Drosophila melanogaster: one gene and its partner. The gene in region 1 interacts genetically with each later gene. Each region holds a gene or a part of one and is shown on either strand. Other genes may lie near its edges. The genes, in order: Gprk2 and cta.

Region 1 (5,168 bases):
TGCAGCATAAAGTTCTTGGCCTTCAGGCCACCGCTATCTAAAGCAGCCAACGAGTCAAGTTTCATTGCGCTTTCCTGCGAGTCCAAGCTAACCGTGCAGAAGACCTGCGTCTGACCGCGCTGGAATAGGGCGGATCCGTGGAGAGGCTTGTACATGTCCACCTGGCAGGAGATGTTCCTCAGCTGGTCGTAATCTCGTCCATCGCAACGCAGACCCCGCTCAAAGATCAGTTCGCGAAAAATGGTTCTACTGGTCTGGTTGAACTGCTCGGTAATAAGCGACGGTTCGGTATCCGGAAACGAACTCCACACCTTGTCAATAACGTTGGAGCGCACCTCGTTAACCGCATTGTCACGAGACATCTTGTCGTGCGTCGAATCCTGGAAGATCTCTCTCAGCCGCATTTCGCACATGCTACGAACGGCTTTCCCCAGTTCGGGATCTACTTCGGCAGCCACTTCCACTTCGCGCTTCTGTCGACCATAGGCCTTCTGCAGTCGCTCGATCTCGTGGATAATGAATTGGGCCTCACGAGTCCCTTGTTTGATAGCCTTTAGAAGGTCCTGCTGAAGAACCACATTCCCCTTGCCCTCCAACATAACGACGAGGTTTTGTTTGGTGGCGGAGACTACCAAATCCAGTTGCGAAGTCTGCAGCTCCCGGCGCGTGGGGTTGATCAGCACCTCGCCGTCGCAGAGGCCAACGCTTTGTAGGATTAAAAGAGTTATAAGCGGTTACCAGTTAGATTCGTTCGTGAGTACTCACCGCACAGCTCCAATGGGTCCATTCCAGGGAATGTCACTTAGAGATAGCGCCATGGAAGCGGCATTGATTGCAAGCACATCCGGACTGTGCACCGCGTCCATAGCCAACATGTTGCACACCAGCTGTGTCTCCGTGCGATAATCTTTGTGGAAGAGCGGGCGTAGCGAACGGTCGATAAGGCGGGCGGACAGGATCTCTTTTTCCGAGGGGCCCAGTTCGCGGCGCATAAAGTTCATGGGTATTCTGCCAGAGGCGGCGTTTTTCAGTCGGTAGTCAACCACCAGAGGCATGAATCCCTGGCCGGGATTTGGCTTCGCCTTGGCCACCGCGGTGACCATGACGGCGGTATCGCCCATTTGGCACACAGCTGTTCCATTCGCAAATCTCGCCAGGCGGCCGGAACTGAAGGTCATGTTACGTCTGCGGAGGATTCAAGACTTTGCTATTGGAACTCGGAGTGGAGGCCACGAACTCACCCATTGCTGAAGTTGACTTCCACGGAGGGCGCTTCTCCGTTGGAACTGCTTTGGATTCCTCTCCTTCCTCCTGGGCAGGACAAACTTAGGCATTTGAGGCGATAGTTGAGCAGCTTCAGCGATTTCCGTGTGAAAATCATGGCCATTACCTAAAAGTGCCGGGTGATTCCGGCTGAGGCGACAGTTCTGTACGCTGTATTTTCATGGTTATTTAAGAAATAATTAGTGGTCAAAATCTTACAATAAAAGCCCTGTACGTTTCTTGAGACTTGGAAGTTAGACTTAGAGCGCCTCAACTATTTGTATTGTTTAATTCAGTTATCTCAAAACTAGAATGCCCATTTAAAACAAAGTAGAGTGTGCAACATGTGTGCGTTCGGCGTTGCCACCTGGCAAGGGTAACAACAAATGAATTATATAGACAAACTATTACACGGATTATGTCTTAGGAATAATGTAGTAAATATTAATACAGCGTATTTTAAAAAAATTAATTTCGTTTCCAATAAGATATTTAGAAGGGTTCCCAGAAAATGAACTATTAGCTTGTGTCCCCGATAATGTCAAATTTGCAGTGCTGCCAACTCTTAGCAATGTTAGTTACAGCATGCAAGAAACAGCATTTAAATTCCTTTTCAGAAACGAAGAATTAAGACGGTATGTTCTGAAAGGTCCTAAAACGACCAACAGAATGACGCGACGATGTCCAAATCGCCAGATCTAAGTAATTCAAGCTAGCTAGAAAATAGCTGAGGCATCAGCACTACACAGTCCGCCAAAATTAGTCCGTCTTTTTACGCGTTTAGAGTTTTTTACCGCGAGTCGAAGACGTCTTTCACTAACTCAACGACGGTCTTACAGAAGACTCCAATATTTTTCGAGCAGGCAATTCGCGGATCCATCGTTAATTTTGGGCACTTGCAGAAAGCCCAGTTGCGAACGTCGTCGTGTGTCGTCTTAGAAAAGCCACTCCTCCAACCGGAAAACCGCAAGAGCGTCGAGCCCTTGTTTTGCGAGCCTTTTCGAAAAAAGCTGGGAATTTCACGCCGTATTTTTCGTATCTTTTCCGTCAACGAAACGCCGCGTGTGTCGTAGTGTGCGTGTGTGTGTTCTGTGTGCCCGCCCATCTGTGCATGTGTGAGAGCGCGCCTGTGTGTGTGAATTTTGGTGAGAGCCGCAACAACAACCGAAAAGAAAACCAAAATCGACAAATGCGGTCAAATTGAAAAGAAAAACAAAAAATCAAAGAGTATTCTTGCGCAAAGCCAAAAGGCAAAGTCAAAAAAGAGCGCAAAGCCAAAAAAACGCAGATTTCCCAACGAAAAGGCCGGAAAATTGCCCACTAGGCGTGTCGCTGCTTCTTCTTGTTCTTTCAAATTGTTTATGCTGCAATTGCAGTGGTGTGCGAAAGGAGTGGTAGAGAGAGAGAGAAGGAAAAGCGTCTTATCAACGCCCGCTTTCTTATCAGAACCCACACATTTGTTGCGAAAATTCCAACCAGCCGAAACTCACAGTGAAGCTTTAAATAGCACATCAAACAAACAGGTAAGTCTCATTAATCAGCTTGAAATCACCTTATTTTCTACTGCTCCTCGGTGGTCACAACTCACTGGCTGTTCCCCTCCTTTGCACTTAAGCACTTAACGGTAACTGTAAATTACACACACGTTGGCCTTGTCTCTCCTGGCGATTAATTGCATTAATGCCGCAGGACTCGCGCCATCCCTGTCACCCCACGCCAATCGATTAAAAAGTGAAAGCAATCGGGAAATGCTTATCAGTAGGTCCTCCTTCTTTGCTTTTTAAATGCATAAATACCCATGCACAGATGCACACATGCAAGCAATCAGCCCAACAATGCACTATATGAATATTTATAGCTCATTATTTATTGTCTCGCTGTTCCCGTCCATCATTTGACCCGCTAAAGAGGGCAGGTTGGTAAATAAATGAAAAGTTATCGAGATAATCGGTGGAATTGTTGGATCATTAATAATTTGTTTATTTTTTAGTTAACCTCTGACAATTTATCAATGACTTAGTAGACATAAGTCAGCTTGTTATTTTTGCATTTACCAAGATATCCGGAAGTAACATCTATTGCTCACACAAAAATATATTGGGCATTCACAATAGTGATGACTCACTGCCATGCGTGTTCACTGATTATTTTGACTTCTAAAATCATACATTTTATATTTACGTAAAGTTTTCAGAGCTGATATAAACATTAATTCAAGATATTTATTTATTAATCACTTGCACACTACTTCCAAAATACTGTACGTTTTATGCAAAATGTCGGAATAACATCAGAGATGTGATGCACAGGAAAATTCCCCATAATTCATGAAACCTATTTCCAAAATTAACAGAAAACTATTTGCGGTACTCGAACTCAAAATCTGTATTTTTATAGCACGAACATTGGAAAAGAACGCAAACCAATTAGTGAAACCATTTTGAAATCACCATAAATCAGCGTGATTGCCTGGCAATAAATTCCCGTTTCCATTTGCAGCTGACAAATGCGAGTCGTTAAAAATAGTTTTTCCCCAAAAGCGTAACTTTCCCCCGCTTTTCAAGGGCGACCCTCGCAATGTCCCGATGTACTTTCCTTATCGCTTCTGCATTTCGAGTTCTTTTTTCTGTGGTACGTCATCGGCAGCCGGGTGTCTCTGATTGTTTGAGAATCGCCTCGCCGGCTGCATAATTAAGACGAGCTGGACGTTTAGCTGATAAACGTTTCCACTTTTCATCGGCGGATGGGAGTCAATGTGCCATTCACAGAAGACCTCTACTCTGGTACACAGATGGTGATTGTTAAAGTCCAAGATCTCTGATGTGTGACCCCATGGGGTGCCCTTTTCAACTGTCAGGTCGCAACTATTGTTTCCATGTTTCGAGGGCTTGCGTCACAGTTTATCGACTCGAGTTGCGAGCTGCGAGCTGTGAGTCCCGAGAACCCGCAACCCATTCCGACAGGATGACGTAGGCAATTGGCAGAAACATGTGTATCCTGGGTATCCTGGGCCCCGTGCAGACAACAATAAACCATCAGCGCCAACCCCATGGGCAAATAAAACCCAATCGAATATTATTATCAATGAGGGCAGGACCCAAACAACGAACGCCAGTTCGAGCGCGAAGGAGGGTTGGCCACATGCTGCTCTTCCCTTGGCAGGATATCATTGCCAGCACTTGGACCCAGCCCACTGAACTTCCCAATTCCAATTCCAATCCCGACCACGCCCACATGCCATCATCGTCGCCTTCTGCGCTAATTTGGCGCGACTTTGACACTTGTTAGCCAATATGTTTTTGGCTCGTGTTAATGGCCCAACGGGAATTGATATTAATTGCGCCGCACGCCCCTCACGCCGCCCGAACTGGGCGTGGTCGTCGGTCAATATTGTTGGTCTCTAGAAGAAAAAAAAAAACAACAGAAAACGAAAAACACAAATGGCCCGAAAATCAGCTTAAATCAATTTTTTGTGGTCGCCGCCTTTTGTTCACTTGCTGGTTTTTGGTCCAAAATCGGCTTACCAACTTCGGTGCCTGTTTTTCTTGTGACTTTGGGCTTTACAAAGAGGCTCTAAGGTTCCCTTCTCGTTCAATCTAATTAATCCTGCCTTCCTTGATTGAGAATATGGGATTTGCCTTGCCCTTAAGAAAACCAGATTTCCTCACCCTTTGGCAGCCAATGAAAACTGAAAGCGCTCCCAATGTTTCCATTTTTCCAGGCCCTGTGTTTTCCTTTCATGTGCCCTAATAAAACTAAATTCAATTAGAACTTGCAGTTCGAGTTCCTTGTGCGTGTGGGAAAAGTTGGAGTGAAATGTGAGAAAAGTTTTGCGGAATATGTCGGAAAAGTGAAAGAGGGATGGGTAGGATCAGTGGCAATGGGCGGATGGCACATGGAGGGCT
Region 2 (4,961 bases), on another chromosome or scaffold:
AATGTGCATAGGCAGGGTGAGGTCAAGTTGCTTGATGTAGTCAGCGCAACGTGTTAGAGTGGATATGCATTAAAAATTCAGCTTTTGCTTGAAAATGGCTCCGAAGTCATGGGTTAGCAGGCAGTTGGACGTGGTGTACAGCTTCGAGATTAGCATCAATGTAGTTTCTTCTACGCGGAATTCCGCCAAGTTATCCAACCCATAATATAAACTCTGCCCATTTGATAAGCAAATTTCACACTCCAATCTCAACAGCATTGCCTTTGCCCTTGTTTTTGTCGCCAACACTTAGCCTGCTTTTGTCCTTGTATTGTCGCCAACACTTAGCCTGCCGCAGATTGGAAGACGGTAGTCAATTTTAAATAGCATTAATGCGTGCGTAATCGTAATATCTATGAGAGTCTTAGTTATATGTACGAATATTTAGATGATAGAAATTTAATAATGTGAAATCTAGTTTCCAGTTGTTTTCTTTGAATCTGACAGTGCTGTTTGAAAAGTAGTTTGCAGTCGAAGGTCATCCCCAAATTTTTTAAAAAGTTTACATCATTTATTGTGCGGAGAGATTACAACGTTTTTTCCGTCAAATTATAATAGTTGGCATTTTTCAATGGCAGAGAGGTATTTTCGTGCAATATTTCTAAAAATTTTGTGCTGACTGTATGAATATTTTTTATTTTTGTAAAGTGAGATGTAAATATATTTTTGCCGAGTTACAATGTTATTTATTTCTTCAATTGCAATCATAAATAAAACCGCAGAAATTGGCGAACCTTGCGGAATTACATTGTGTAAAATGTTTGAATTCGATGTGACATTGTTTATTCGAACCCTGGTAGTTCCGCCGTCCAGGGCGGCCATGCTGCACCCCGGGCTATAAGACGGATGCAAAGTACAGTACGCTGTCATCAAGTCTGATCACCGCTTCCGAAATAAAGCCTTCTGCCCAGCTCTCTTAAACAATATTAAGCTTAGCTTTAATTAGTTGACAGCCTTACAAAGAATCTAAACGAATTCCAAAAATCTTAAACACAGGTGGCGAGCACGCAAAACGGAATAAATATTTATTTATTTATTTCTCTATGTAAGCTAATGGCCATGATATTAAGATTAAGATATAAAAATATTTTTTGAATCTTACCTAGCTTTAGTGTATTGGATCAACCTAATATCGAAATAAAACAGAATGCGAATTAAACCAATCAATGCTACTGTATCCATAGCAAAAGTTAAAAATGTTTTTTTTTTTTTAATTTTCATCCCATACAGGTCATCCTATAAGGGAACGTGCCCTCTCCAAAAGTCACTTCATTAAAATAAAGTTTTAATTTTAAAGAAATATTCTACAACCAATTTTTTTATTAATGTTATTGTAACTGATTTGTTTTGTTCCCAATTAAAGAATAATATTTTCTTCTCATTTTCTTTTTATCTTATATGCTTTAAAATTTAAAATTAAATTATAAATTACATTCCTGGTAAACCCGATATAATAATTTGTTTTTAATAATTCTTTACACTAAAGAGCTGGACCTGTTGCTTATAATATTGTCAAATTGGTTCACATATGGAACCAATTTCACCGAAAAACTGATCTGTGGGAACATGGTATAACAAAGTTGACACGAATGTTTATGTTTTATATACAGGCAAAAATTATTATCACCGCTGTTGTTTGCTCCATATATAATTACAATTATATTCCTAAAGAAACGTAAATGTAATGGCTGAGAGTGTCATAACCTAATAACGATCACGTTCAGTGTCTTATTGGTGTGAACTTTATTCCGGAATTTGTGTTGCGTTTAAGTCTGATGCCATGTAGAAATAATGGTTATGGCTTTCAGATGGCAACATCGCCTTTTAATCTAATATGAGGCCTACAATTAGAATATGCAGAATTCAAAAAGTGTTTGTTTATAAATTAAAGCGAAAGCAAGACGATGAGCATCTGCTGTTAGTGTGGGGAGTGTTTGACGTATTGGTGTTCGTGTGTGTATATAGAAAGTGCGAGCATCAGGCGTTGGCTTGCCAGCGATGTCTGGCATTACATTGACCAAATTAACTCAAGAACGAATTTCCATTCCAAACAACAATGTCATCACGAACGGCGTCGAAAACAACATAGATAGTGACACGCTTAGTGGTACTCTGACTCATCTTATGGAAGAGCATCGCACGCGGGTGGGAGCGGTAACTGGACCAGAAGCAGCGACCACGTCTACAGACGGCCTAATATCGAATGGAGCAGAGCGACTGCGACTTCAGGGCAGTCGGCTTCAGACCTCGCGCTTTGCTTGCTTTCGATGTTGCGGAAATATTATCACATATCTAGTAAGGCTGCGTAGTACCCCTGAGGAACTGGAGCAGCGCTACAAGTCCAAAGAGATTGATAAGTTCCTGGAAAAAGAAAAACACACCTTTCGACGTCAGGTAAGGTGATTTAGGGATATCGATTTCTAACCCTTGCTGTTGGTTATTTTATTTAAATGTTAACAACGAAGTAAAGGAGATATTCGACAAATTAAAGTCTATGTACAATGGCGGAAAAATTATAATGTGTTTAAAATGTAATTTCTGTACAATGTTATAAGCATATATTTAATTTAAAAAGTTACGTTTTTTTGCTAACAATTCTAGAATTATACGTATGTGTTCTTAATTAACAGGACTAGGCAAGTCGGTCGAGTAGTATATATGTACATACATACATACATACATACAACAAGCGCTATATATTTGTAACCGAAAAATATAAAAACAAGAGAAATCCTATAGTTGTGAGCTCCGCAAGTATAAGATACACGCTACTTAGGTAATGGAAGACTTCCTACTTCTTGAGGCCCGTCCCGTCTCGAGCACGAAACCTAGTCCCAAAAAAAGCCCGGGGCCCTGCCCAAGCTAAACACGAACAAATTAAAAAATAAAAACAATGCAATTTTTTTTAATTTAAAGTATGTCGGTTTTCTTATATTTATATTTCTTATATTTTGTAAACAAAGTTGATTGCAAAAAACTTAATATTTAGTACAGTTTTGGTGTTTTAAACATAATTTATGACAAGTTTTTATTTAAAAATATTTTTTTTTTTAAATTAGAACATTTTAAACGTGTACATCGCTCATTTAATACAATTCCAGAGGTAGAAAATAATCTTTTGCTATTCGCTGAGCTTGCCGGAATGGCAATTCAATAACTTGAGTTCACTACATTTCCAAAATTCTAACACATTTTGGTCTGAAGTAGCTGCACAGCCATTTAAATATTTTTCTATTTCAATATCATAAGAATTTAGTTGTAACTAAGTTTTTTTGAAAAATTTTTAATCCTGAAATTCTGCAAACAGTCCTAACCCCTTTTTATCTGGGCTTGCAGTTCTTAATCCTATAAAACTCCTCATCACTTTGCATTTCTGAAAGCATTGCTTTGACAGTTACAATTACATTCTCCTTAACTTTTGGCGATAAGCAACACATTTCCTTAACGGGAGAATTTAAGAAGAGTCCAACATAATGTGCCGTTTATGGTGCACATCTTTTATGTAAAGAATTTAACGTATTATTTTTCAGCTGAATTATGGTTTCAGAATCGAGCATTTCACTGGCGCACATCTTTAATACTTTCTCCGATCACAAACAAAATAGATTTATCGATATTAGAATCCAAACTGTATTCTTCCATAATTTCCTTAACGTTATTGAGGATGTTCTCGCCTGTTAGATTGTGACAAACAAGTTTAACTTTCGGTTCTGCCTGCGGGCTTTTTTCTTAGGGCACGAAAGACGAATTTGAGGCCCGAACCCAATTTTTTTGGCAAAGGCCCGCGGGCCTTGAAATAAAGCCCGGCCCGCGCTGCATCATCATTTAAAAAACATTATAATGGTCCACATTACAAAATTTTTGCCAGGCACAGTCTATCAAATACTTTTGCAAAACGGACTTAATTGTTATAGGCATTTTTTAAAATAAATCTCCATTCAAGAACAACATTTTGTTTTTTATAAGCATGCAGAGTTTTTTTCAATGACTTGTTCAAGGGTAATAGTTTCTTGTTCACAGAAAGGGTAAGGAGTTTACTTTGGGTGAGTCAGGGAATGTTTTTAAATGTCTTGTTTTTGAAAAAACAATTGAAGATATTTCATGGAATTTCTTCACCGGCCCCAACCAGGTCTAATTTTCTACTTTGACGTGTTAGTCGATTTTTCTCGGAAACGAACAAGGTTTTAGACCGATAATTCGGTTATGAGCATAACACAAACTTTTGCACATATATTTTGTTAATCCATTCATAAAACAAATTAACAATATAAATCTTGCTCCATCTCTTATATTTCGTGCAATGGAAAGAAGAGGTTTGGACAAGAGGCTAGTTTGATTAGAAACGGTCGGACAAGCATGAATATTTCGATTCGCTTGTTCATATTGATGAATAATATACATATGTACACTGCGCCTCACCAGGTTAGCGCACCTTGAGTAAAAATCTTTGATGTGAGACATTTAGAAAACTGCTTAAGCGAAAGTTTTTGAAATTTTTTCCCTTAAAAGTTGTAAAATTTCATAAATGAAAAGTTTATATGGGATGCAGTTTGTTGTTTATAGATTTTTGTTGAAATAAAAAAGAAAAACAAAAACACCAGAAAAAAAACATCAGGATAGCGCCCCTATGACAATTTAGGTTTTTTTTTATTAATTTCGAAAAAAGTTAGATGATTATCACTTAAATGTTTAAAATCTAATATTTTTAAAGAAAACTAATAATTAGTTGCTTCTCCTTTGTTTTCAAGGACTTCACACATTCGTCTGGGAAGTGAATCATATATTTTTTCTAGGTAATCCAAAGTAATCGTAGACCAACCGAACTTTTTTCCGGTGATCGATTTCTCTTGAGTGACATATTGCTTACCACCCTCGTATACCTTCCCAGCCAACCATCCCCACACGTTTTCTATTGTATTAAG

Evidence for each region.
Region 2: of Gprk2 (region 1) and cta, changing one suppresses a phenotype caused by changing the other (phenotypic suppression), as found in Drosophila melanogaster (one study listed by BioGRID).

Annotation. Positions count from the first base shown.
Region 1 is NT_033777.3:31,403,171-31,408,338, forward strand, and holds the start of Gprk2 (G protein-coupled receptor kinase 2), read left to right. Parts: upstream 1-2,074; 5' UTR 2,075-2,786; intron 2,787-5,168. Other genes in the region: PNPase (polynucleotide phosphorylase), read right to left, coding at 1-705, 766-1,185, 1,242-1,387. UniProt on the Drosophila melanogaster protein: Specifically phosphorylates the activated forms of G protein-coupled receptors. Required during oogenesis and embryogenesis; component of a signaling pathway that functions during egg chamber maturation.
Region 2 is NT_033779.5:22,980,161-22,985,121, forward strand, and holds the start of cta (concertina), read left to right. Parts: upstream 1-1,655; 5' UTR 1,656-2,037; coding exon 2,038-2,433; intron 2,434-4,961. UniProt on the Drosophila melanogaster protein: May play a role in a signal transduction pathway used during gastrulation. Required specifically for the ventral furrow and posterior midgut invaginations, where it is necessary for coordinating cell shape changes.